2 linked regions of the Drosophila melanogaster genome follow. The protein of the gene in region 2 interacts with the protein of the main gene of each other region in a pairwise test. Each region holds a gene or a part of one and is shown on either strand. Other genes may lie near its edges.

Region 1 (3,329 bases), on a different chromosome or scaffold from region 2:
ACATCGCATTTCGTCTCCGACAGAGAGGCAATCAAACATGGCAGGAAAACTGCAGCTGAAAAACAGTTGTTGACTGTTTGCCGGCATCGCCTATATCTCCATCATCATGATGTTGATGATCATCATCATCTTCACCTCGCAACAGGACACAACATCGCAACGTCATCATCGCGTGGAGGAACAAGTGAAGGAGGACATATCCTCGTCATCGTCACTTTTATGCTGCTGTTTTGTCGCATCCACTGTGCTTATAAGCATCCGCTCGTCACATGCGTGCAAGCGTATCGGGGATCTACACAGCGAGAAAACGGATTTAGCTTATAATTTTTAGTAATATACATTTTGAATAATATATACCTAATTAGTCATTCCATCAGATAAACGGAAACTGATAATATTGTCTCTCCCCTTAAAATATATTAATATTAATATAAAAATATTAAAGGCATCGTGCTTTAATATTTTTACGCATTTTTTCTCGCGGTGTCTGGGCTCGTATCTGAACGTACTCCGGCAAAGGCTTGTTTATTTGCTGGCAAAATTGTGAAATAATGTGCTGCAATCAATTCCCAATACAGCGCTCCGTGACCTCTAGCCCCTCTTCACATGCGGCACTCCCTCACTTTTCCCTTTGGAAAAGCGGGAGAAAGCGGGAAAAACGGTGTGCAGTGAAGTTATTTGAAGTGGCAGCTGCCACAGAGCGAACTGCAACTGCCACAACTGCATTGGTTGCCCCACGCCTCTTATCATCACTTGATTTACCGCCCCCACTTCCCCCATTTTCCACGTTTTCGTCCGTATCGGAGGTAACATGTTTGTGATGAATATGTTTACATCAATAACAAAAACTCCACTATGGCGCATCAATAATGAAGCCTTGCTCTGACTCCGCTTTACAAAACCCCCTATCATTCCATCCAACGGGCGGCAAAACCCCATTTTGAACACGTCAAAATGAGTTTACTTTGTGGTTTCGATGGCTGCGATTGGAAACTGCTCCCGCGGATTATGAAGTATCTCGATTGGAGTACCGAATACATTCATCCACACACAAACACATCGAGTTCTTGACATCCTCAACACAAAAACAACAGTAGCAATGGCAACAGGGATTACTTCGAGATTGCAGCAGGAAAACCACTTGATATTTTGAAAGTGAATCCGTCCACAGTCTGATCGGAGATTTGGTATTATCCGAGATTAGGGGTTGGGTATTTGCTCGATACGGAGACAAGGACTTAATTTATAATTAATAAACATGTTTGGCTTAATTTACCAGAGAATAATGATGGAGTAACAATGAATTTGAAACTCCACTAAGCAGCATTTAAACAACATACGTAAACATACAAATTTAATATGTATGGTAACAATAAATAAAGTAATTTTAAAATCGAATATAAGAAGATAATATGTGACTTGAAGCAGGCATACCTTCTACTACATAATTAGATCCCAATTTAAAATGTTAAACAGAGTAATTTGAGTGCAGAGTTCATAGAGAGATTTATGATAATAAATTAAAAATAAAATAAAAAATTGTACGCGAATGTAATGAAGTTATACAATAATCTTCCAAGAAAAGGAGCCCACGATTTTTATATATTTTTTGACGATGACAATGTATTTTATCAGTTAAATATTATAAGCCATATAGGGCACACACAAGTTTACACTAATACATTTTAGTTCGGTAATTAGTTCCTTTCAAAGGCCAAAACTACACATAGCTACAAACAAGAATGGATGGGGACCAAGTAAAGGGCATCCTGAAGTCGGGAAACAATAGTGCGCAATTTAGCCTGAAGGCAGCCAAATTTGATGAGGTCAACATACTGGCCACGTTCCACCCGGCTGGTAAGGACTACGGCCACATGATCATCGACGAACCAAAGACACCCTTCGTCTTTGAGGAGGATTTGCCAAAGGAGTTGGATACAAATGCCCTGATCGAAAAGTTGAGACACACATCAAAGTCAGAAATGCCGGCATTTGGCATCGAAGGAGACTCAGAAGAATCCTCGGCGGATGAGGACTTTCCCGAGTCTGTAGAGGAAAAAGTGCGTAGAATGGAGTTTGAGAGGCGGCGAAAAGTGCATTACAAGGAGTTCTATTCGGTTCCACTGGCTCGACGTCTTATAGCCGACGAGTTTGCCGAGTTGACCAGTTCAGAGTTTAATATTCACTGCGAAGGGGGAATGGAATCTTGTGAAGCGTGCAGTGAAAACAATCAACTCGACGGCGAAGCAAGCAACTTGACGCAAACAAAATACTCATATTCTGAAAGTCAATCCGAATACAGGATATCAGATCATTCTGAGCCTGAACCAGGTTTCTCCCCCAGCCATCACTGCTACCAAAAACTGAAGGCCGAGCTCTTTAGCAAAGCAGAGCCGGAAGAATTGGCCTCTTTAACGCACTTGCATCGAATGCCATCGGTCAACGATGATGAACCAAGTCGCGAGCCTCGCGTCCCATACCCTTCGGTTGTTCCGACTCAAACCCAAAATCTACATGAACACAAGAGTTCACTGAAAATAACGTCCGAGAAGCCTACTCCTGCTCGTATATGTAAATCCAACCCTGATAATCGTCCTGGCACTTCTAAGAAAGAGACCCGCTGAAATCATTCAGTAGTGTTAAAAATTGCAAAGTTATATTAAAGAAACTTGTAATTATAACAAACCATTGGGGATTAAAACTTGTGTATGCATTTGACAGAAAGTATCTATTACACTACATCTATCTACACTCTTTTGTAGAAGAAGCTTTTAACAAATGTTGCCTAATGGTTTTTACTCAAGGATAAATATCTTTAATTACTCAATCACAAAAATTGTGTCCAATAACTTTCGGTCATTCCACTCCTGTTCGTGCCTCGTCTAAGTTGCTAAGGAAATTATAGGAAAATTCTAAGTACCACTGGCCAGGCTAATTGCTGAGATGTTGATATGATTAACCCACTAACCTTCATTTGCTCCCCATCTATTAATACTTTGCTTCCGAAAGTTCACTGGTCTGGGGAATATTTAATTACGCAATGTCCTAACGGTAATCATCATTCGGCCGAAGCTAGATACAAGGATACACAGCCAGAGTTTAACTTATTTTGGCATTTTGTTTTGTGATTGAAAATTCCTTTTGACAGTCTAGGCAACCGAAGAGTTTTCCTTCCGGCCAATCGCTTTCATTCTGATTTCATGCTCTGGCCATTCCAATTGTGAAGAAAACTGATTTCTGCCCTTTAAGATAATTCCTCGGATATTACAACTGCAGAATCACTTGAAATAATTATGCAAAATGTTTAATTTAGCCATTAAATGCCGTAG
Region 2 (6,204 bases):
CGGAGTCCCAACCACGTTGTAGCCGGAATGGAGACCCGTAGGCTCTGTCAGTTTCAAATTAATAGCCACGCACACACACTCACTCTGTGCCGCTGTGGGGTGTGCATTTATTATGTGAGTGAGCCAGTGCTTGCCTACTTTCGTCCTCGTCGCTATTTCCGCGCTGCTCCTCCGTCGTTTCTCTATTATAATGGCATCATTGACTTGTGCTTTGATGGCTGCTTTGGCCAGGACAGGGCATCGGTTTGCCCCCACCCTAGTGTGTGTATGTGTGTGTGTGTGTGTGGGGGGGGGGCTAGAGGTCCACCTCCACTTGATCCCCATTTGGGCACGGACGGCTGGCGCCGGTTGCTGCCTTTTTTGAATATTCGGCTCACACTTTCTGCTACTGCTGCCGCCTTTAGGTTCGCCCCTTTGCACTAGGGACGCGTTACTTGCCGGAATTTGTTGGCGACCATGGGGCCTTAAACTCCGCTTGGCTGGTCACCGAAAGAGGCGGCGATTCTGTTGTAAAATTTTCATTTTATTGGATTTCCAAATGATTTTCAATCAACAAGTCCATGTTATGCAATATGAAGTATGTGCACAGTTATTCTTATTGTTTCGCAGGCATTGCGATTTCTAATCAAATTGATTTTCACACATTTGTTCAATGACTCGATAAAATGGCTTTCAACTACACGCTACTAGCAGGACCTGTGCTTCATGTCACGGCTTAAAAGCTAAACATTGTACAATAGATACATGAATGACAACGCTTTTAACGTGACTGCATAAAGCACATACATTGATTATTAACATAAAACAAAAAACTGTATGGTAATGTTGTGGATTAATAATTATTTTTTGGTTAGTTACAAGTCTTAAACGCTTTCTAAACGAATGGAAATGCCTGGAATTGATTGTTAGTTTCGGCTGGGAAGAATCGAACCCTAAACGTAATGTATGTATATGTATTTTGCGACGAGCAGCAGCTGCTTTTTGTTCACTGGGCGCCTAATGTTTGCTAGTTCGTAATTTTCTCTAGATTCTACATAAAAATATATATCTCGTATAAAAACGTGAATACTATTAGCTGTGCTGCTGCCGACACTTCTTTTTTGGCCGCATTCATGTTATGGCTAATAAAAAATTGCTCTTATGCCAGAGGTTTCATTTACGTTTTACAAATGCACTTTCAGAGATTCCATGCGACTGACAATACGACGTCGCAATTCGGCGTATCTGCGGAAAAGTAATTCTCTTTCAATGCAAAGTCTTGGGATGTAAAATTATTTTTTAAAACCCACCTTTCCTTTATTTTGGCCACTTCGCGGGCCAGTTCCTGGTCGTAGCGCTCCAGAATAGCACGGCACTCGGGCAAAGATAAATTCAAAAATTGAGCAACTTCATTACTGCAGCGATGCAAAAGAAACGTAAGCAAACTTCTATTGAAAAGGAGTGTTATAACTTGCCTGATTTCATCAGTTTTGCGAGAATCCACTAAAAATATACGAGCCACATCCTCATGAGGTCCCAAAGTGACGCGCGTTATCAAAGGATATTCGTCGTCCTTGAGACGTTTCTGTTCACCATTGTCGCGAACAATGAAGAGTGAAAAATTGCCAGGCGAACTGTCCACCTTGTATTTCTCCAGCACCAAGTTGATAACCTCAGTGGTGGTCACCATCGAGGAGACCCACACTGACATTTGAGAACCGTAGGGCGGCGTGAAAAACGACGTCTCCCGATTGTAGTAGTGACCATTGATAGAGCACCGACGTTTCAGCTTGGTACGAGAACTATTGATTAAGAAGTTGGAATTACAACACAATTTCTTCATTAAAAGTTTCAGTAACTTACCGACGATTGCCACTTCGTCGCTTGATGGCAGAAGCTCCTGTGCGTGGAGGTCTTCTCAGCACAACTCCATCTTCCGTCACATGCAACCCAGCCGATCCATCTCCGTCTGGACCATCAACGCCCTCGCTTGCAGTGTACAAATCCTCGGTTTGCGTAAGCTCATCGCCGGCCGCTGCACCACTGGTTATGGATGGAGCATCTGCCCGACTTGACTCACCTTCGCTAGCAGCAGCCACATTCTCTTTGGGATAACAGTCCATCTGGATTTGTATGTACCGCTGAGGTATGTCGCTGCGTCGAATGGTGGCCATACGTTGGGGACGCAGCGTGGCCTCGTCGTCGTCATCGCTGTCGGAGTACACAAAACAGCTGGGTCCCGATTTGGAGCGGTTGATGCCCTTTTCGAACAACTGCCGCCCCTGTTGATATGGCTTCTTTTGATCCCTGCTGGTTACTGTGGCCGATCCACTCTTTTGTAAGGCGTACTGACGCTGTGCGGAGTGAGGAGAGCCCACACTACTGCGCAGATTCATGGTGTCGTTGATTAAAGTGGGATCTATTGACCGCAATGCATGCTCACAATTAAAGCTTTTGCTCATCGCTGAATTCTCGCCGTAGAGCTTAAGGGAGTCGTGAATGCGAGAGGGATCAATTGGTTGATTACGCTTAAGGGTGCCCTCATTGGGCTCCGTAAAGGAGTTGGCCCCATTTACATAGTCCTGGTGGACACTACGCTTAAAGTCCTCGAAATCAATAGGCTTCAGGGTAGCGTCATCGCAAGTCTCGAAGTTATCCAGAGAGGTCTCAGTAGTAGACACCGTTGTTGTATTCTGCGTATTGGTGTTGGCAGTCAACGATCCCGTGGCGGTCATAAAATCATCCGTGCTGCTGGTGTTTGTTGATGCCGATTGAGTCGAGCTTGATTCAGTGGTCGTAGTGGTCTCTGTGGATGTTTTGCTGGGCGAACTGTCGCTGGAGGATTGCGACGACGGCAGTTTGACAGGCATAGTTTCATAAATGCGATCCTTGTCGTTGTGACGTCTCTCTACCTGCAGCAGATCGTCTATGTCGTCCCAATCCAGTTTTTCCAGACGGTCCAACTTCGAAGGCAATGTGCTGGACACACAACTTGTGCTGGCAGTAGGAGCCTCCACCAGGGTTCCAGATGAGTCCGTCGTGGTCGTATCCTCGTCGTCGTTGCACACATTACCATTGGTCTGCTCTTTGCTGTTGGCTGTGGTGTTGGCCGAGGCATCTTCTGGGGTTGTGGGCAACTCGGAGATCTCGTTCAGGCTACAGGAGTCGAAGGTCATGCTCTCGGAAAGGGAAACATCCGTGGATAGTTGATCGACCTCGGCTGTGGTGGTGGTGGGCGGAGCCAGCGATTCGCTAGCTTCGTTTTCCTTATCCGAACTGCTTTCCTGTGGGTACAATTGTATAAATAACGTTTTGTTATGTTATAGATTCAGCTTACATTGGCAGCCTTGGACACACGGCAAGAGTTCCTTTTGCGCACTAAGATGCGCTGATCATCGTCCTCCTTGAGATGAATCACTCCCTGCACGCCCCAGTAAACTCTAAGCGCGCCTTCCAGCACCAACCGGTTGTTGACCTCACGACTACGTATCTCCAGGCTTTTGTTGTCGTAGAATTGGTTGTAGACCTGCCCATTAAAAGGGAATTTGGTGAGTCATGAGATATTGATATGTCTGGGTATTGCGTTCTGCACCTTAAGTTTGGACTCCAGGTGATCACGTGGGAGTGGCGGGCCATTGGCCTGAGCTCCGGTTGGCTTCTGGGCTCCCTTCACCCCATAGCTTTTGTGCGATTCCACCCGGGTGCCGTGGCCAAACAACTGGGGTCCAAACAGGGCGCCATAGCAGGGCACATGGCAGTAGGGCACACTTTTGTGCTGAAAGGAAAACAAAAGGCTTTATATAGATCACATGATCGGCTAACTAACAGGTGATCCTCCTACCTCAGCATGCTGGCCGGGATTTAAGCGTTTGCCGCATTCCTCGCAGCGCAAACATTCCGGATGCCAATCGTAGCCGATCGATTGTTTACGTTCCGCTGTGCGGGGCATAAATAAATATAATTTACAAGTTATTTACGGATCGCAATGCGCTCGTGTGTGGGTGCATTACCGAAGTAAACGGGTTTGCCGCACTTGTGGCACTTCCACATTCTGGATTCCAAACAGGTCGGTCTAATGCTTCCTCCGGGAATGGGCGTGTTTCACTCCTCCTCCTCTACTTCGCCGATTTTAAAGAGTTGTGACGTAAAGCCGTCGAGTTGTATGCAAATGAGGCGATTTAAAGCGGACACGAAACGCAAATAGAACGCTGGACAAGGGGTAAACACATGAGGCGAGGGGGGACGTGAGACTCTGATCGGTCAGTCGGTCAGCTGCGCTGGTTGCCGTGCGAAACTCATAGTTTTATAAATGAAACTGGCACTGGGCACTCCCACACTTGGTGCACGGTGCAGGTGCATCGGTTTTCGGTGCGTACTTGTGTGGATAATTGCACTTAAACCAAAACAGCACCAGCAGAAAGAGAACAGAACAATGAAATGAAAAATGGCACTTGTGCAGCACTGGCCGCGGATTCTTGTCGCACAAGGCGGGCACCCTAAAATCCAGCGGTGCTGTCAGCTGATCTGTTTTGTAGCTAGATTTGACTTGGCTGGCGGTAGCTTGAAACGGATTTGCTTGTTTTGGTGTTTAAAATTGTCATCGTTTGTACTTTAAATACATCTACATTGATTATGGCTAGAACCCAAATCTTTTTTGGGCTGTATCTTCTTTTAGGGAATTTAAGTTCCTAATTAGCTTCTTCTTAGCTACAAAAGTTTCCAACACTGATAAACCGTGCTGACAATGTCAATGTGCGTTGTTTTATGCCTTTGAATTGAAATCTTCGTAACTAATCGAGTTTTAAAACGAAAATCAGCACAAGGAAAACACTAAGCATTCAATACATTTAAAATTTTAAAAGATATGAGCAAAAGCAAATAAGCCCGCCAAAGTGTGTGACCATTCGCGCTGCTAGATTTGTTTTCGCTGCGAGTGCGGGCACACCGATCTGCTCTAGTAGAAAGTGAGACGTTTTAATTTGTTGTCTCTGCGCGCTGTGTAAATTTGGTAAATTCGGCCCCGAATCGCGTAAATTGGCGAGTTTCGCTAATTAGGGCCAGTGCTCAACGTGTGTAGCCGTCGATTGCCAAGGATGCGACTAATCACCATATCTCCTGCTGCCCGCAATTAGCTTCTCCCAGAGCCGCCCTCGAAAATCGCGCATCGAAATCCCCACTTCAGCAAGGAAAGCAAAGCAAAGCAGAGCAGCAGCAACAGGCCAACAAAGATTCACGGGCCTCAATTAGCGTAGCGAAATAGCCAGCAGTGCAGTCTAGGTGCTGCTTGCGTGGTGGCCAAAATGCGCGCCACCATCGAGTTCGAGGAGTGCCTGAAGGATTCTCCCAGATTCAGGTGCATATAAGCTGCAGCCCCGCCCCCACTGTGTGCCCATCCTGAGCCGCATTTGGCGTGAGATTCGAATTGCTCCATGTAGCGTGACTGGTTACTATCCAAAACCAGATACAGCCCAACACCGCCCCACCTGCTCCACCTGAAAACGCGGCTTAATCATCCATCGAACAAACTTTGTCCCGTCAGCAGTGTGGAATGTGCCTGCCTGCCCCTTTATTTCCGCAATTAAATTGCCGATGCTCTCGTCTCCGTCCGCGAACGCTTCAATGCCCGCCGCTGATTGATAAGATTTCACCCAAATTGCCGCTTCTCCACTAATCGTGTCCAAAGACAAAAGCTTTCCCTCGTAAAACGGTGCACAAACGCGGCGATAACTTGTTTGCCCAGCAGCCCCATCACATCTTCCCCACTTTTTCGCACCTGCAGCAGCTTCACTTGAAAGAAAACAGGAAATCAAGACTATCTTGGATTCTCCTGCACTTCGGTTCTTTTATCATTTGTGGAAGTGCCAACTTGACCTTGGTGTTTCGAAACCGAAGTACACTACAATAAATTATGTGAATCATATGTGAACTTTTCTGCCATGCATATAAAAAATAAGAAATCTAAGGATCTGTAAAGTAGGACATTTCTATTGCTTCAGAACTAGGCAGATATTATCGCAACCATAGTAAAATGTATCAATGTTATGCATTTTTTTAAACTAGCTTAAACTAGTTTCCAGTTTTAAGTAGAATTAAACGATTTATTTTTTATCAAAAACTTCAACTCATTGTGCATTTGGCTCAATCGTTTGAATGACGAACACATATTTGAAGATATATGAAGCTTTCGAAAGCCATTAGTTTAAAATGAAAACTGTGTATGATAGC

Evidence for each region.
Region 1: the proteins of Rassf (region 2) and CG6380 interact in a two-hybrid assay, tested with the Drosophila melanogaster proteins (one large-scale study listed by BioGRID).

Annotation. Positions count from the first base shown.
Region 1 is NT_033779.5:17,290,522-17,293,850, reverse strand, and holds CG6380 (uncharacterized protein), read left to right. Parts: upstream 1-1,648; 5' UTR 1,649-1,742; coding exon 1,743-2,624; 3' UTR 2,625-2,776; downstream 2,777-3,329.
Region 2 is NT_033777.3:23,113,510-23,119,713, forward strand, and holds Rassf (Ras association family member), read right to left. Parts: upstream 4,423-6,204; 5' UTR 4,030-4,422; coding exon 3,990-4,029; intron 3,916-3,989; coding exon 3,821-3,915; intron 3,755-3,820; coding exon 3,572-3,754; intron 3,506-3,571; coding exon 3,317-3,505; intron 3,264-3,316; coding exon 1,843-3,263; intron 1,782-1,842; coding exon 1,455-1,781; intron 1,395-1,454; coding exon 1,290-1,394; intron 1,225-1,289; coding exon 1,164-1,224; 3' UTR 505-1,163; downstream 1-504. Other genes in the region: CenB1A (centaurin beta 1A), read left to right, coding at 5,280-5,332.